Linked DNA regions of Drosophila melanogaster. The protein of the gene in region 1 interacts with the protein of each later gene in a pairwise test. Each region holds a gene or a part of one and is shown on either strand. Other genes may lie near its edges.

What was found. Proteins that work in one complex are often made in the same cells at the same time.
Region 2: the proteins of AnxB9 (region 1) and gt interact in a two-hybrid assay, tested with the Drosophila melanogaster proteins (one large-scale study listed by BioGRID).

Annotation. Positions count from the first base shown.
Region 1 is NT_033777.3:21,063,721-21,071,290, reverse strand, and holds AnxB9 (annexin B9), read right to left. Parts: upstream 6,051-7,570; 5' UTR 5,890-6,050; intron 5,409-5,889; exon of another isoform or gene 5,340-5,408; intron 3,846-5,339; 5' UTR 3,822-3,845; coding exon 3,792-3,821; intron 3,223-3,791; coding exon 2,514-3,222; intron 2,454-2,513; coding exon 2,272-2,453; intron 1,979-2,271; coding exon of another isoform or gene 1,925-1,978; exon of another isoform or gene 1,537-1,924; intron 1,014-1,536; coding exon of another isoform or gene 960-1,013; exon of another isoform or gene 752-959; intron 735-751; exon of another isoform or gene 568-734; coding exon 514-567; 3' UTR 374-513; downstream 1-373. Other genes in the region: r-l (rudimentary-like), read left to right, coding at 1-278; cortactin, read left to right, coding at 7,227-7,393, 7,462-7,570.
Region 2 is NC_004354.4:2,426,563-2,430,483, forward strand, and holds gt (giant), read right to left. Parts: upstream 2,406-3,921; 5' UTR 2,291-2,405; coding exon 2,239-2,290; intron 2,164-2,238; coding exon 869-2,163; 3' UTR 551-868; downstream 1-550. UniProt on the Drosophila melanogaster protein: Represses the expression of both the krueppel and knirps segmentation gap genes. Binds, in vitro, to the krueppel regulatory elements CD1 and CD2. It is required in the early embryo for the development of portions of the head and abdomen.

The DNA.
Region 1 (7,570 bases):
AGGGAGCCGATGTAGATTTCGTTGCCGGTGTGGTATGCCAATCCTCCGATGCCTTTGCCTTCCCCGGACTTCTGCAACTGACGCCCGGTGTGAAGATAGACGAGGGCGTGGACCAATTGGGCCAGCAGTACCAGAGTCCGGAGCATGTGGTCAAGGAGCGGGGTGCCGACATCGGAGTGGTGGGCAGGGGCATTCTGAAGGCCAGCAGCCCGAAGCAGGCGGCTCAGACGTACCGCGACCGCCTGTGGGCAGCCTACCAGGATCGAGTTGCCAAGTAGAAAACCCAAACAGCATTCCCCCTTAACGAATATTCCCCAATACCCATTCCCCCTTGGTTTCGGTTACCCTAGATAAGTGAAAAAATCTTCCAATTATTTACCGCGATTTTACAGTGCATTTATGAATTGAACATAGGCTATGAATCTTCCGCAAAACAGTTGGCAAACGATGCTTGCCTTAAAGTAAGAGTTACAACAAATAGAATGGTTAACAATCGATCCAACGAGGAAATCCTTAGTAGGAGGCCAGGCACTGCAAGACGTAGCTGTAGTCTCCGGAGAGGTCGTCCTGGAAAGGAGATCAGTGGATGGTGAATGTGACCCAGCTTTGCCGTTGAGTGTAAGCCAACTTTATTAGTTAATACAAGCACAAACTACGCATACGACTTTGATGCGCCATAATTTACAATAAAAAAAGACATGTATACAAAATAAAAATACGTAAAAATGTTAAATAATCGTTGAACGTTAGACGTTATTGCACAGAGGGAAAATACTAAGCGTTTTGTAGATTGGATTTTTAGAACACATCACAACTACTGTATATAGACCAACTCCATTTGTTCTTCGCTTTTGTTATACTTTTTTTTGGGGAAATGCAACGTTTTTTTGTTTTTGGCATTTTCTACTTGAACAGTGGGGTATTGCTCATAGATATTCGGATATTCCGGCTGCTTCCGTCTACCAAGCCGTAAGAGTGACCAGGACGTATCCAATATCGGTCTCGGCATCCTCCTGTTGTTGGTTCGTTTAAACGGGTAGAGAAAAGCGTGAAAAGAGCAGAGGGTCAGAGCATTAAACGCCTTTTACTTTGTATACATGGCTTATGGTTTGGTTAATTGCCGGAAGCTACTCCTCCAAGGGGTAATCAACTATATATCTACCTGATCAGCAAATGAATGTCTTTCAAATTTAACATAACATTTAAAGTTTTACATCTTGAAATTGTATGTACATTATATTTACATGTAATTGACATGTACTTTTAGCAAGCAGTGCAAGTATATTTAGATCTAAATTGAACTATATTTAACAGTTTGTATACCTTATACACTTGCTGATCTAGTTTATATAGACAATTAAAGAGGGCTAATATACTCATTTAGCCCCATTTAAATCGATTTTTAAGTTGGTTTAATCCACGCCCTTTTTAATGTTTAATGTTTTGATGTTAGGCGACCCAATGTAGCGCTGTTATTTACATGACAAGCAGTGCAGAGACCTCTGCTAAAGGTAACAGAAACTCGATTTGAATTTTGTATTTCATTTTTTCGTATTTTTTATTTTCGTATTTTTTAAAAGTTAAAATATCTTGCAAATGAGACTCAAAACAAAACTGAAAGTATACCTACACAGCAATGCAAGTAGCCTGAGGTGTAGTAATTATAGAGATACAATTATGTGCATGTGGCGTGCATAGTCATAATAATAAAAGTCACAATGGTTATAATAATCAACAGGATGCGAGACTGGGGTTCTGATTCTACGACTTAAATGCACTGCGTCTTCGTTAAAACGTGTTCCAATTCAAAAACTATACATTGTCAACTATTTGATATCGGAATTTTGTTTGTACATTCTGTTTGCATATAGTTTAGAGCGTGGAACAGACGAAAGAGATAAATTATTGTTGGATGGGGTTCTTTTTAGAAGCCAACAATAGCCAATAGGGCACGCTTATAATCGCCGGATGTATCGCCCTAAAAATATAGAATATGCCAAGTTTTAATGTTTTATGCACACAAATGAAGCAATCGGGCGGGAAGGGATAATGGCTTCAGAAATCGGCAAGAAAGTGTTGGGCAAAGGAGCAGTAACAACAACAGGAGAAGCCAGCTTGGATGAACGATTATTAAACTTTGATGGAGCCACAATTAATGGGATTTGTTGCAGGTGCAATCGAATGCGAGTTAGTGGCACATTGAACAGGGTGCAGAATCGAAAGTTCTGGCAAGCACACGCAGATATGAATGTAATTGAAATCGGTATTTACCTTGATCCAGGACTCCAAGCTCTTGCCGTACTTGTTCTGGAATGCCTCCTTGATGTCACCCAGATCGATCTCCGACCGGCTGACAATGATGCGGATCAGCGTCTTGTCCTTGGTGCCCATGCCGGCCATTGAGTCGTGCAGGCGCTCCGAAAAGTAGTCGATCTTGGACTTGCAGCACTTGACTGCAGAGCAATGCATCAGTTAGAAGGGACCCTAAAGAATAGGATGCTATAAGAACGTACCGATGGCCAGGAAACCCTTCTCCACGGAGCCGCTAAACTCCCGCTTGATGGCCTTCTCGATGTCGTTGCCCGACAGATTCTCGTATTCGAGGAAGATCTGGCGCAGCTGCTGGTAGGAGCGGGTGATCAGGATCGAGTTGAAGGTGGACTCATCTGTGCCCCACTGTCCCTCGCCGGCGTCGTGCAGAGCCTGGGCATCGGCGATGGCCGCGGCCTCGTCCACGCCCTGGTTCTCATCCCGGTTGCCCTGGACGAGCGAGACACACAGCCGCTTGAAGTGGCCACTGGTGTCGCCCTTCAGGTCGGACTCTAGGGACTTGCCGAAGCTCTGCTCGTAGAACTGGGCAATGGTCTTGATGCCGTAGTTGGACAGCGTGCAGAGGATCTCGATGATGGCCTCCTCGTCGGTTCCCAGTCCCGAGATGGCGTCGTGCAGCTCCTGGGCATAGAACTGGGGCAGCGGCGTCATCAGAGCCAGGATAACATCCTCGAATTTGCCGCCCAGTTCGGACTTGAGGTCCGAGATCAGGTCCTTGCCGTACGAGGTCTTGAACGCCTCAGCGATCTCCAAACGCTGGACGATGCCACGCCTGGCCAGGATCTCGATGATGGCCTTCTCGTCGGTGCCGAAGCCTTTCATCGCCTTGCGCAGAATAGCCGCATCCTCGACGGGATCGAAGGGATCCGCCGGGTAGACAGTGGGTGTGCACTGCAAATCGAATATAGGCAATCAGCAAATGAGTAACAACAAAGAAGAATTGGGTGTATTTTAATGCAGGGCACGTAATCCCAAAGAAATGACTCAACACTACTCAGTGGCACTTGTTCTAAATACAAATACATATGTGGTTATTCCCTACATGTATTATCTCAGTATTGCATGAATTCCTCTGCAATAAAGTTAGCTTTCTAAATTGACTTTTTTTTTCGTTGTGACTCTTATCTAAGGAACTCATAACTGAAACCCTCTTATCACTCTCTTCTCCCACCAATCGGTACTTGTTTGTCAACGATTGTCTAGTATACACCTCTGATGATAATTTAATAGCCCAATTATAGATAATTTCGTAGCATCTGGTCGTTGTAATAATTTATAGATTGCATCGAGAAAAATCTTGCTTACTTGACAACAACACACGTTTTAGAAAAAATAATATTAAGATATTCTCATCTATCTGTTGAATCTAATTTGATCTGATTTTTTACATTAACGGCGCTAATCGCATGAAATAATTGATTTATACCAGACTCATAAAGTACAATCCATTGTAAACTCACCTTGAATGGGTAGTACTCAGCGGAACTCATTTTGATTGGTTTGTTGTGAAAAATCTGTAAGTAGGAAGTGAGAAATCATAATGAATAATGGCTACGCCGAAATCGTGATGAAAACTGAACCCCCAGCAATGTTGGATACGTTATGTTTCCCAGACCCAATAAGCCCGGCCTTCGGTTAATTCCTGCCTGGTGACATCATCAACTCGTAAAAGCCTCACATTACGCATACGCCCCGTAGCCAGCCTGGCGCTGGTCTGAGAGCATTTTTACCCATTGATTTTTTTTCCTAGTTTATTTACCGAGATGTTTTTTTTTTTAGTTTTCCTTGCCGACCGGTGCCCAAATCGAAGTTCAACGTACTGCCGGGGAAAAGTGAAAGTTTCCACTTTTCAGTACGCAGTTTGCGGAGGAACGAACCTTGGAACCGGGTGCGTCTGATAGCCAAATGGCATGGCGCGGCAGTTTCGTGATAGGCCAGACCAAACCCACACGAAGTGGCCTCATAAACGGATGAGCTCATTGCGTTCTGGCTTGGAAAACATCGGGCACGGCTTGGTTGTGGCCAAGAGAAAGCTTCAGGGAAATGTCTGACTCGTCACCCGTTTGCGTTCTAGATCTACCACTCCACTTCAGTTGTCAAGTGGAACACTATCTCGAGGGACTAGTCCACATAATCCCTAAAATCAATAGGGCCAAATTACCTAATGATAAATGGATTGAGATTTTTGATAGCTTCCCCAAATTAGTAATCACAGTGCGACAGTGCTGAAAATACATGTTTGCCTTTCTATGCTGCCGCCAAAGTAGAAAGTCAACAAAAGGCAGCCGAAAAAAGCATTATAAAAGACTTGACGTGGCGACGCCATCCAAAAAAACAAAAAAGTTAACAAAAAGATACAACTACAAACGCCTCTGCAGTCGAGCTATAAACAAACAAAATGTTTTGGCCAACGTTGAAACCGGTTCTTTTACGTATGGCGTACAATTAAACTCAAGATTCTAGTGTTTATAGACTACTTTAGTTAATATATGATTTCTTTTTAAATAAATTATAATGCAAGTTGAGAATAATGTAATCAATAATAATTGGTTAGACTCTCTAAATATTGATTGGAGTTCTCCGTAATAGTTTGACCTCAATGTAGAAAACACATTTGTGTTTGAAAACACCCTTAATTACAATTCTTTTGTTTCATTATAAAAAGTGGTTGGGGTCTGGAAAAAACAAGATTGATAGATATGCTTTAGCATAGCGTATCTGGTAATGTTGTTCTTGAAATAGACTGATGATACATTGAAATTACAGCACTCAGTGATTCACCAGATTTGTGACGTCAATTTTAAGCTCTGAGCACGACTTTAAAAAAGAGATATTATAATATAGGTGTAAAAACTGGAATAGCTCGTGACCATGTGTGAAAAACTCCATAAACAAAAGCTTTTGCCAACTTCTTTTGGAGACCTCGATGGACTGTACCTCGAAATGTTTCAAAAATGTTTTGCAAATGCACTGAGCAATTCACTTAGTAATAAACCTTGATGACACACCTATTCTACTATAATTGCACGGCCTCGAGTACACTACTACTATATTTTGTGGACGGTGGAATGTGGCCACATCCGATTCCGGTGAGTAATGCTGAGCAAGGCACAGGCGCTCATACACAGTGCTTACTGTAGTTTGAAGTGCCTGTCGGGCAATTGAAGTTGATTGAATTACTAAATTAAGCAGGGCACTGGGGGATAGAGATATTTCGAAAAATTCCGCTTCTCATTCCTACGTAAAATGGGAAAGCAAGAAAGGAACAGAAAAGTTTACTTAGATTTCGTCGGAGATGAGAAAAGTCACACGCGTCGCGAGAGAAAACGCCAAAAGAGTGGGGCTTTTGCTTTTGAGTTTGATGATGTCATCTTTCGGTTTTGAATTTTTCTCCCACCCGAGGCTTTTATTATTGAAATATAAAGTAAATAGAGAAACAAGATTCTGGAGAATTCTCGCGATACCGCACCCACAACTAGAATTCTACAAAATGCCCATTTTGGAATGGCACAAATGAAAATTATCTTTGAGTGTTTAGCACACACTTTCTTTTCTCACTTTTCCGACTGATTTTCCGCTTGATTTTTTGCGATTTCTGGCACAGCGAGAGTAAACAATGAGTTTTATCTACAAATTCCTTTTGATTTACCAATGATATTCGATTTTCAACGTACAAGTCAGACGATGCGAACTGCAAGCGATGTGAATAAATACCATAGCTGTTTGCGCTCCGTCTTTGGCTTTTATACTCGCGCTCTCTCGCTGGAAGTCGATTAGAGATGAACCAACCGGCGATAGGTTGTTGTTGCTAGGAAATATTCGGTGGTAGCGCCTAACTGGAAGCTGGTATCTTCTGCGTCGTCATAGTATACACCGTAGAATCTAAAGTGTTCCGAGATGGATGAATCATCGGCATTGGAAGCTGTTGAGACATTCATGATATTTCCGTTGTGATAATGACGACATTGGGAAAATAAGATCTGATTACGCATTGAATTTCAAAATGTAACCTTTGACTTCAATATTCAGCCGTTAGGGCAATACAGTTAAATAAATATCCTGTTCCTTCCTAAGCCGTTTTATAACTATTTTTATTTGTATTTTTATAACTATATATAAAAACCAATTACGTTAATTGTCAGCCGACATCGAAGCAAATTCAAATCCAAAACTATCGATATATCGATGATATGTTTGCGGTTATATGAAAAAAGTCAACTCTTATACCTGTTAATTACCGTTCTGGCAGAATCTTATTAATTATACAAATTACTATGGCGCCACTTGGTATAACATCAAATACCTTTTGCCCGAGCACTCAGTTCTATTGATCACGATCACATATATTGGTACTGCAGTATATATCGGTGCATTGACTTATCGAATAAAGTAAAAGAACCACGACTGTATCTCTTAATCATTTAAATTGGGCGCCCCTAAAACTGCAGCAACTACCTTTTGTCAAGCTCATCACAATAATTTATCGGCTTTTCGTAGCATATCGATGCATCCATTGTATCGAATGAAATTTAGTTCAGTTAGTTTCCCGTTTGTTGGTCTCTTTATGAATCAATTGTTTAACCCTTCTCCTCCCAGAAATTTGCAGACATCCCTAGCGGCATCAGATCATAAGTTCCTCTTGCAGTAGGAGTTAGTCATCGGGATGTGAGTATACATATGAACATAGAGCGCCAGTGGCATCTTGTTCCCGATCCGGCTTTGTCGGCCCCTCCCTTCTTCGGTGTTTTGTGACTTGTTATCTGGGCCACGAATCGGAAGCGGAGCCCCTGCAACTGAAAACCTGCCCCGACTACTCACACTCGTCATGGTGTTTATCTATCTACCCAGCAGATAAGGATAAGCGAGTAACCAGCGACCAGAAACCGGTAAAAAGAATGTGGAAGGCAAGTGCCGGTCACCAGATTCAGGCCACCAGTGCAGCCTCCGCGGAGGACGACGACTGGGAGACGGATCCGGACTTCGTGAACGATGTCAGTGAGCAGGAGCAGCGCTGGGGATCAAAGACGATCGACGGCAGCGGTCGCACAGCAGGCACCATCGAGTGAGTCATCCGAAATTCTCGAAACACTGGGTATCGGGTTCATTGTTCCCTTTCTTTATTCTTTTTAGCATGGACAAGCTGCGCGAGGAGACGGAGCAGGCCGATCTGGACAAGAAGAAGCAGCTGCTGAAGGATCAGAACGCAGGATACGGATACGGGGGCAAGTTTGGCGTTGAG
Region 2 (3,921 bases), on another chromosome or scaffold:
AAAATTTAGAGATTTTCGGTTTAAATTACCAGGCGAACAGGAATTCCAGGAGGCGACCAACGATTAGTTGGTTTTCAGTAGACACCCGCTACTGAGTATGTTGGCCTGGTACCAAAAATCCAAAATTTGCCACTAAAATGCTAATTTTGTAAGCAAAATTAACAGATTTTCGGCTTAAATTACCAGGCGAACAGGAATTCCAGGAGGCGACCAACGATTAGTTGGTTTTCAGTAGACACCCGCTACTGAGTATGTTGGCCTGGTACCAAAAATCCAAAATTTGCCACTAAAATGCTAATTTTGTAAGCAAAATTAACAGATTTTCGGCTTAAATTACCAGGCGAACAGGAATTCCAGGAGGCGACCAACGATTAGTTGGTTTTCAGTAGACACCCGCTACTGAGTATGTTGGCCTGGTACCAAAAATCCCAAAATTTGCCACAAAAATGCTAATTTTGTAAGCAAAATTAACAGATTTTCGGTTTAAATTACCAGGCGAACAGGAGTTCCAGGAGGCGACCAACGAGAACAGAAATTCCAGGAGATAATTATTTTCGATAATTTATTGAAATTCATTCCTTAGGGCTATGAAAAAAATTCACTTATAAGTTAAACATTAATAGCTAGCTGGGACTTCTACAACTATAGATGATTCCATTGATAGTTAACTGGTGGGATTGCGAGATGCACTACAGCTAATACATTTTCCAAATATAACGTATACTCCAAGGACTTAAAGTACTTAAATGCGAGCGTGTAAAAAAAAAAGAAAGTTGAGCCCCCTAAACTATTCACAGATAAGCTGACCCAAAAACTGGACATACGATTCGGATCCTCGCGTTCAACGCATCAAGAGAGGAGTGGACCTTTAGGCGGTGGTTACTTTGGCGGAGGTGAAGGCGGCCAGCTGGACCTTGAGGGCGTCGATCTGGCACAAGAGCTCGATGTTCTGGCGTTCCAGATAGGCGGCCCTGATGGCGATCTCATCCTCCTTGATGCGGCGGCGATCGCGGGACTTCTTGGCGGCAGCATTGTTCTTGCGACGCCTCTCGTAGTATGCGGCATCCTTAACCTGGCTGCCCGAGCTGATGCCCGAGTTTGCTGCAGTAGCGTTAGCCAAGTTGCTGGAGCTGCTGGTGGCGGACTTGCTCTCGAAGTTGCCCGCCTGGGAGTCACAGTCGCTTGACTCCTCCGCAGCAGCGCGATCCTCGCTTTCGCTGTTGTTGTTTGAGGAGCTGCCTTCGTTGACGGATCCACTTCTTGAGTTGGTCCTTCGCATTTTTGGGTTGGTTACGGTGCGCGATCCTCCGTTGGAGCTGCGGATTTGCTCAAGCACTCGCTTCCGGTATTCCGTGTAGCGCTCCACTCGCGGATTGTCCAAAAGGACATCAGTGGCTGCGAAATTGGCAGCTATGACCAAGGGATCCCGGGGAAAGGCCTTGAAGGGACGGGTGTTCTTTCCCGCCTCGCCGCTGCTGGAGGTGGTTGGCGTGGTGGCCTCAACAGCCGGTGACAGGGGATTCTCCAGAACGTCTATCTGCATGGTGCTGGCGTTGCTGGCGGGTCTTGGTGAGTTGGTCGAAGAAGCGGCAGCAGCAGCGGCGGCCGCAGCAGAGGCGGCAGCAAAGGTTTGCAGAAGGTTAGCGGTTGGTGTAACCTTGGGCGGAGCAGCAGTGGGCGTGGCTTGCTCCTGCTTGATGTTGCTGTAGTAAAAAGCGGGATACAGGGAGGCTAATTGTTGCTGCTGCTGCTGTTGCTGTTGTTGCTGCTGATGTTGCTGCTGTTGCATTTGGGCGGCATACAGAAGATTGCTGGTGGGCGAAGCCGAGGGGGAACCACTGCCGTAGCTATAGCTTGTTTGATACGGCGAGGGAGTCTTCCTGGGTGTCTCTACGCTGTCACATCGACGGGAAAGATCCAGGACCTCTGCAGAGGAGGTATGCTGCTGCTGCAGCTGCTGATGTTGCTGCTGCTGCTGTTGCTGTTGTTGCTGCTGACTGAGGGCAGCTCCCAGCAACTGCTGCTGGTAGGCGTAGGCCGTGTACAGATCCATTTTGGGTAGGCCCAAGGATCCCTGAACCGGCAATTGGCTGTGCGGCAAGTGGTGCAGTGGTTGCTGCTGGTGGTGCTGGTACTGGTGGTGGTGCATCAGGGGCTTGCGATCTGCAAAGATTGAGAGAGAGAGGGGATTTGTTAGTTTACGGATCGAGGAGAAACCAAGGGGCGTGGCCAACTTACCAGTCTTGAGATCGAAGAACTGCCCGGCCATGAGTTTCTCGTGCATTAGCATGGTGTTCGGTGTATGGTCTCTGGGTTTAATCCAACTGATTGACGCTATATAGACTGGTGATCTAGCTCTGATGTTGCTATATCTTCACGCTGACGATGTCGAACGCAAACTGATTTCCTCTCGTCGGAACCCCCTGCATTTATACCGAAAATCCGGAGGCTGCGCCGACGCCTCATTCACATCGAAATGGCGGACACGAGCGGCCAGCCGAAGCGGTACGAAGCAGGTAGGCGGTACAAAGGCCAAAGGGCAAAGGGGTGATTCTGGCTTTGCTTCTGACTCTGTCCCGCTCTGGCCTGTTGCCCTCTCTGTCTCACCGCTTTCGAAAGGGTTTTACAAGGGTGCGGCTGCCCTTTCCCTCATTTGGTTTTCGCAGTTTTCGCAAAAATCATAGTTCTTTGTGCTATTGTTAGTTCGCCATTTAACGTAATTTTAAAAAGAAAGTACAAAGAGTTTTCGAACTTTACGTTTCATCAGTTTCCGCGAAAGGATATGGTTTTTTCTTGGTTTTAATATTCAATGGGAAAAAATAGGAAAATTCGTACCACCTCTGCAGTGCTTTACATTTCGTTTTCATGGAATTGGTTAAAAATATTCATAATCAATATAGAGTTATAAACTTCGGCTCTATTTTCATAGGCGTTCATTGCGATGTTATAAGTCCAAGTTTGAGGAAACCCCAGATTTTTGTATATACCAGCATTGTGCATTTGATTTTTTATTACAATTGTACCTAACTTACTTGCTTTGACATCCAACTGATAAAACCCTTACCCAAAAACCAATCTTAAAAATCTTAAGTTATTAAACCTTTAGATTTAAGTAACTGCTGTATATATTGCTTTCAAATATAAAGAATAAACCGCAATTAAACATCGTAGGCTATTCTCTTCAGCACTGAAATAAACCATACTTCTGAATCTTCTAGAACATTTCGCATATCAAAGACCCCCCGACCGTAGACTATTATAATTACACTCAAATCATACTTTTCTGGCCAGAAAGAGAGGCATCTGGCAGAAGAAAAGAGATGGAATCTAGTTTGTTGATAATAGATGCACAACATCCAAGGGTTGTGATGGCTAAATCCGTTTGTTTTGCGCTTTTGTTTCGAAATCCTTTTGCTGACCAGCCCATCTAGAATCTGTGTATCCATGCGATGGCGAATTCGTTGGATTGTGCGTGACAAATTATGGAAATTAGGACGAGTTCTGGCGTTCTTGCAATTTTCAGCCCTTTTCGGCTGGCGTAATTCGCATCCTTTTCTTATTTCGGCAATGAAAACTCGGCTTCCCGGAATTTTGGCAAGGACACTCGCCAGTCTGCCCATTTGATTCATGACGCCGCCAGCCCGAGGATCGAGAATCGAGAGTCCAGGATCATTGCGACAAGTGGCCGTCCGTGTTGACTGCTCGTGTTTGCCCTCCTCCTTAAACATCCTTGATTCTACGTCCTTTATCCCTTTGGCTTCCGCTGCGGCGTGGGATGTGGGATCCTCGACAAGTTGTTTCACTTTGTTAACTGTTTGTCCTAACGGTCGCCTCGACAGCCAACGGAAGTGGGTAGCGGTACAAAGTTGGCTATCATCCATGGGAAATGTTATGCTAGATACTTACTGCAGCTAATTCGAG